2 linked regions of the Drosophila melanogaster genome follow. The protein of the gene in region 1 interacts with the protein of each later gene in a biochemical or structural test. Each region holds a gene or a part of one and is shown in the gene's direction. Other genes may lie near its edges.

Region 1 (3,153 bases):
TGGGCGGATTTTTTGGCGGTGATTACACTGAAAACTATGCTCGATAAAGCTGTGTGCATCAATTCACACTTTAGAGCAAGTCCCATAAGGCTAACTCTTCTGAATATCTTAAAAATGTCTTACAAATACATTCCAAACTATTGGTATAGATAGATATAGGTAATGATACAACTGATATTTGCTAAGAAATACAATACAATACCCCAACTACCAAAACAACAGTGCATCGCTTTTCCATCCAAATTGGGGAGTAGAGCTAGAAATAGAGTTTGCATTTTTAGGGGAAAAACGGTACCTGAAACATGGGTGATCAAAGGATTTGCAGTTTGTACGCCCGTGGGGCTTGCTATGCCACTGCAATGCTAGACTGCAGAAGAGGCCATTGAACTGCATTAGCTAGCGCTTCCGATTTAGTGGTATAAATACCAGTTGCAGCCCAGAGCATTCACTGCATATCCAAGATGTTTAGCCAGCACAACGGTGCAGCAGTACATGGCCTTCGGCTCCAGTCGCTGCTCATCGCAGCCATGCTCACCGCTGCAATGGCAATGGTCACGCCGACTGGCAGTGGTCACCAGTTGCTGCCCCCCGGAAACCACAAACTCTGCGGCCCCGCACTGTCCGATGCCATGGATGTGGTGTGTCCCCATGGCTTTAATACGCTGCCAAGGAAACGTGAAAGCTTGCTGGGCAACAGCGACGACGACGAGGACACGGAGCAGGAGGTGCAGGATGATAGCAGCATGTGGCAGACACTGGACGGGGCAGGATACTCTTTTAGTCCACTGCTAACCAATCTGTACGGATCCGAGGTCCTGATCAAGATGCGTCGCCACAGGAGACACCTGACCGGTGGCGTCTACGACGAGTGCTGCGTCAAGACCTGCAGCTACTTGGAGTTAGCCATCTACTGTCTACCGAAATAGGACACTTGGCCAACACACACACATTCATTACCCAGCATGCATACACATACATACATACATACGAACACTTGAACATGGCATTCCCACATACATACTATATGTACACCCGTTCTCCTAACAGCATTCGTAATCCAATTCGTAATCACTTATTTATGCAGCACCAACTTTGACTAATGAATAAAAGTAGACAGTGCAAAAAGAAGAATTTGTGTGAGCGGCAAAGACAAGACAGTCAAAGGAAAAGTACCAAGGAGGCGTAATTCGTTGCCAGGATGCTGCTGGCTCCAATCAGCTGGCTCGGGTTCTTGTTGGCCTACTCCGGCCTGCCGGGCGCCCAGGCGCGGATTGGTAAGTATAGGGTAGAAATGGTAGAGGCAAACGGGCTGTAAAGGCGAGGTAACTTTAAGACCAAGGACTTATTTGGTATTCATAAATGCAGGGCTTAGTACGGCCTGGCTGTTTATACATAAATTGTTTAATTGGCTGACAGCAAAACGCCCACAAAGCCCTTCTTCTCCCAAACACAGCCACCCAAAAACCACCCACAATTTTCCAATAGCCATTTGCATAAGTCAGCTTTGACATTGAATGAGTTTAGCCAGGCGTTAGAGAGAAGAGCCAACTCCGGAATGCACTCATCGCATCCTAACACAATTTGACAACCTGACTTTTGAGGATAACATGTGTGTGGATCCAGACCCCGACCCCGAGAGACCGACCCCGACCCAGACCCAGTTTAAGTTTCTTACGAGGCAGTATATAAGCCAGTTACTTTGGGCCAAACATCATCAGTTAGCTTTCGACCCGGCTCGACCCAACTTAATCCATTTGATCGTAAAGCAACCTAAGCAGTAAACCCATAACCATGAGCAAGCCTTTGTCCTTCATCTCGATGGTGGCCGTGATTTTGCTGGCCAGCTCCACAGTGAAGTTGGCCCAAGGAACGCTCTGCAGTGAAAAGCTCAACGAGGTGCTGAGTATGGTGTGCGAGGAGTATAATCCCGTGATTCCACACAAGCGCGCCATGCGTAAGTTCTTACAAGGATGCAGATCCTCAAGCTGGCTTTGCTAGATCTACATTGTATCCACGATTTTTATTAGCCGGTGCCGACAGCGATCTGGACGCCCTCAATCCCCTGCAGTTTGTCCAGGAGTTCGAGGAGGAGGATAACTCGATATCGGAACCGCTGCGAAGTGCCCTCTTTCCTGGGAGCTATCTTGGGGGTGTACTCAATTCCCTGGCTGAAGTCCGGAGGCGAACTCGCCAACGGCAAGGAATCGTGGAGAGGTGCTGCAAAAAGTCCTGTGATATGAAGGCTCTGCGGGAGTACTGCTCCGTGGTCAGAAATTAGGCCTCCTAATGCGAAAATCATTGACCCCAACTGACCTGGTCGACGCGATTATCTCTGGATCTGGTTCCAAACCAACCATGTGCATATATACTACAATCGATGTTTTTTACAGCTTGTTGCATGTTACTCTTTACGAATGATCGAAATGGATTAAATATATATTCTGCTTTAAGCTTTGGCAAACAATCGCAAATGCTACTTTATATTATTATTAATTTGGGACGTTACATTTATTATTATCATTATATGATATATATGTTGATTATTACACTTGAATAAAAAGCGATATAACACAAGTATTCAGAAATCTAAAATGAATATATCTTTTTTTCTATTAAAACTAAATTTATTGAAAACAAAAAAAATCTTAAAAAAACTTGAAACAATTTAAACCATTCATTCATTTCCAAAACTTGTTTCTGTCTTAATACAGTAGGCAATCCAATTGCAATTCAAAAGTTAGTCGCATGTGGGAAATTTCCAAATTTTAGTTCATAGCTTTTTTCGTACTTCGTTTATCGATGATTATATCATCCGTAAAGAAGTAATTGATCAAATCTTATAATCAAAACATTGACTTACTTTTATGTTGACCTTAAAAGTCGAGTATTTCTAGTCGCGGTTGGCCGATTTTATAGCAATACTCATAATTTAATCGTTCTGTGTAGTTGTAAATTAGAAGATTATTACATTTTGAAAGCTAAAATAAACGGAATCAACTAAATTCATGCAGACCTTAAATAACAATCACGCATTACCAAATGCAAGGCATTAAAAGTGCAAAACGGATAATCTTAGTAAATTAACTAAAATATTAATAAATATCGTTTTAAAACTGACCATTTCAGCGTAGGTTTTGAGGGCATTAAATTGGA
Region 2 (3,793 bases), 5.6 Mb from region 1:
ATTAATGGTTTTGACAACTACAGTGCTAATTCAGTAAGCTAAACGAATAATATACGGTTGATACTTTGCACTTCGTCGAAATGATTCATGAATATTAACAGAGTAGTGTGAAGCACCTTTATATGTAGGGTTAATTAATTTTACTTACATGTGATAGAAAGTCATAGGATCTCGAACACTGTTGTATGTTCTCAACAACTTGCATAAGATGACAATGTTAATTGTCAAGATCGAAATGAAATGGTATATGGGCTGGAAAGTCATTGAGCTATCCTTGTGAGACACCTCAGTTTCCAAACCACCAACTCTGGACTGCGGACGCAATTAGGCGGTGGAAAGACAGATCCCGAGGCGGATAATCGAACCCCCCGTCCGGTTATATCTGTTTTGTTCCGCACCTTCCCGGTGCGGCGGTCGCATAAAGAATTACGATCCGAGAACGAGCAGAGAGAGAGCGGCGAGTGAGTGAGAGTGTGTGTGTGTGTGTCTGTTGTCTGTGTGTGTGTGTGAGTGAGCCGGCGTCGCATATAAATGGAACAGCGCTGCGGCCACCAATTCAGTTCTGTTACAGTTTCCAGCTGTTGAACACGACTTTTGAGAGCCGCCGAAGCCAACTGATCCGAAGTTAACTAAGCCGATCCGCGATCCTCGCTTTTCAATTCGCCGTGAACCGCATTCGCAGCAGCAATCCCCCCCAAAAACCAAAAACCAACACACCTTGACTCGAGTGTAATGTCGATGAACCGTGCGTATTCAAACGAGTGCCGCGCCAACCAGACAACCATCAAGAAGTACCAGACCAAGTCCACGTCCACATCGAAGGAGCACTGATACCGCCACGAGGATCGAATGTGCCAAAGTAGTCAGCTAGATATTCGCTACGCCGCCTGAGATTAACACGCTTCCGCTACCCAATTACTCGATCCTTATCCCGATCCTGAAGCGCCACTCCCGAGCACAGCACCCAGACGTTTCAATACGATCCATCCTCGTCGCCCAAGACAGACCGGCAAGCAGCCAAGATTCCACCAACACTGAGCTGCACGACCTCCAAGACGGCATCCAGCGCCGGACCTATGTCAGTGCTAAGCCAGCTGCTGCTCAACTTCAACCAGAAAGCCCAGACCAGGAGCCATCACAACATAGAGCTGATAAATTCGTTCATAACATAACGATAAGCCGACCTGCTTCTGCTTTACCTGATCTATCATCGTCCAACGTTGGGGAGAAATTTGCAAACATTTTTTACCGGAAGAGAAAAAAGAAATCAAATCAAAGGGTGAGTAATGTGCGTTAACAATAGATAGGTGATTGCCGCCGAACGCAGTTTCGTGTTCCGTTTTTCGTTTGTTTTTTTTTTTTCAAAATTCGAATTCGTAGAAATGCCCAAAGATACAAAAATCACCGTCGAAGGGCAAAGACCGTCTGATGCAACATTCGCCAGCGATTGGCGAATGACTTTTTGTGGGGCTACTACTAATTCATACATACAAGCGTATGTACATACATAATACCCTCGAAACTATTTGAATAATTAATCGGTCACGCAGTTTGTCCAGTCTAGACTATGGGGACACATTGGCCCTTGATCTGCGGCTGAAGCGTGGGTGAGTGTGTGAATCCGAATCGGGCTGTAGAATTCGAATTTAAATTGACGTCACACTCCGCGAGTCATTCCGTTTTCCGTTTTCGATTTCTGCCTCTGATTCGGCCCACGCAAGAATCTTATATCATTTTCTTTTGTCAATTCTTGTTGTCTGGTGACGTGTCATTGTGAAATACATTCATCTACGTTTGGACCGAGCACATCTCTTAGGGGCCGGAAAAGGATTCCGAATCTAAATTCCGGACTCCGAGAGCCATTAGCACATTTCGCAAGTGTTAGTAATGTTCTAGAGCCCGCCGACTGAAGGCCTTGCGTTCTTATCGGGGAAATAGACTCGGAGACCTCCCCTGATTAATGGAGGCGGTGATGAGTGGGGGAAGTGGGGTGGTGGGGTGGTGGGGGGATGCATGACTGGCTGAAAAGTCGGGCTAATCGCATCACGTTGCTCTGGGGTTTAATAACCTATATTAGAGTCGTACGAGTGCCGCTGTTGAACTTTGAACTCACTTCCGATTTCCACTCTCTCTATCGATCTTGCAGAAAATGAATTTACATGTGTGCGCCTTAGCGCTGCTGCTGTTCGGCAGCATCGCCACTGTCCGCGGAAGAGCCGTGGACCTGGTAGACGATAGCAACGACGTGGATAACTCCATCGAGGCGGAGGAGGAGAAGCCACGCAACCGAGCCTTCGAAGCCGACTGGCTCAAGTTCACCAAGACGCCGCCGACGAAGCTGCAGCAGGCCGATGGAGCCACCATCGAGATCGTTTGCGAGATGATGGGCTCCCAAGTGCCCAGCATCCAGTGGGTGGTGGGTCACCTGCCCCGCTCGGAGCTCGATGATCTGGACTCCAACCAGGTTGCCGAAGAGGCGCCCAGTGCCATTGTGCGCGTCCGATCGTCGCATATCATCGACCACGTGCTGAGCGAGGCCCGCACCTACACGTGTGTGGGACGCACTGGCTCCAAGACCATCTATGCCAGCACTGTGGTGCATCCTCCTCGCTCCTCTCGTCTGACGCCGGAGAAGACCTACCCGGGTGCCCAGAAACCGCGAATCATCTACACCGAGAAGACGCATCTGGACCTCATGGGCTCCAACATTCAGCTGCCCTGCCGCGTGCACGCCCGTCCCCGCGCCGAGATCACCTGGTTGAATAACGAGAACAAGGAGATCGTCCAAGGACATCGCCACAGGGTGCTGGCCAACGGCGATCTTCTGATCTCCGAGATCAAGTGGGAGGATATGGGCAACTACAAGTGCATAGCCCGCAACGTCGTCGGAAAGGATACCGCCGATACCTTCGTGTATCCCGTACTTGTAAGTATTCCCCTACCCGCCGGGTTATACCAACTCATCCTAAGTAATCCCTACGTATTTTTCTTGTCCTTGCAGAATGAGGAAGACTAAAGATCCTACCACCAAATAAAAAACAAAAGGCTATTGGATTGACGACGGAAATTCATCTAGTTAGTTAGATAGATCAAATGCCTTCGAAGATGCGTGAAAAGAAATGAAATATGCTTAGAAAAAATACAAAAAAAAAAAAATCAAAAAAAAATATGATGGATCAAAAGGTCATACGATTTACAATTATGTACAATTTAGATTAAGCACAATCTAGCTCGTAGTCCAGGTAATTAACCGTATCTAATGCCGGCTTAGACACTAATTTTCCCACTTATTATCCTCGAATATCAGTCACATTTAGAGCATTCGAATTATAGCACCTACTTTATGGTTTTCTTCAATTATAGCTTTAGTTATCGGCTTGTAATCACGCTTCTTTGGTTCTTTGTAAGTAGCAATGATTGTTCCTAGCGATTCAGGCAGCACTAGTTAACGTATTTAAACTAATTGGCCGTTTACTTAAGGGCACTGCAGCCCAAGAAGCACTTATGACTCGTGGCACAAGCCACAGTCAATCAACCAATCAATCAGTCAATCACCCACCCAATTCGTATTTATGTGCACCCATCATTTCTACAACTAATTTATTGATCGACCAAATTCATTCAGCATCGCCACCCATACAGAATCACTGAATAGTATTCACGGAATTAATCAGTTTCATAAGCTACCCGACTATGTTTTAATTTATAAGGTAATAGAACTGAAATATGTTTTTCTAATTGTTTAGTGTTAGTTTTAATCCAACCTTCAAGCGATTGTTTTTGAATAAATACA

Evidence for each region.
Region 2: the proteins of Ilp2 (region 1) and ImpL2 form a complex in vitro, tested with the Drosophila melanogaster proteins (2 studies listed by BioGRID, with this or other methods).

The regions. Positions count from the first base shown.
Region 1 is NT_037436.4:9,797,973-9,801,125, forward strand, and holds Ilp2 (Insulin-like peptide 2), read left to right. Parts: upstream 1-1,725; 5' UTR 1,726-1,791; coding exon 1,792-1,954; intron 1,955-2,027; coding exon 2,028-2,278; 3' UTR 2,279-2,468; downstream 2,469-3,153. Other genes in the region: Ilp1 (Insulin-like peptide 1), read left to right, coding at 462-926; CG32052 (uncharacterized protein), read left to right, coding at 1,199-1,274. UniProt on the Drosophila melanogaster protein: Possible ligand of InR/insulin-like receptor. Plays a role in regulating body size by increasing cell size and cell number of individual organs.
Region 2 is NT_037436.4:4,224,060-4,227,852, reverse strand, and holds ImpL2 (Ecdysone-inducible gene L2), read left to right. Parts: upstream 1-1,902; 5' UTR 1,903-1,960; coding exon 1,961-1,969; intron 1,970-2,146; coding exon 2,147-2,926; intron 2,927-3,001; coding exon 3,002-3,016; 3' UTR 3,017-3,143; downstream 3,144-3,793. Other genes in the region: CG46460 (uncharacterized protein), read left to right, coding at 1,077-1,172. UniProt on the Drosophila melanogaster protein: Essential developmental role during embryogenesis, in particular the normal development of the nervous system. May be involved in some aspect of cell adhesion.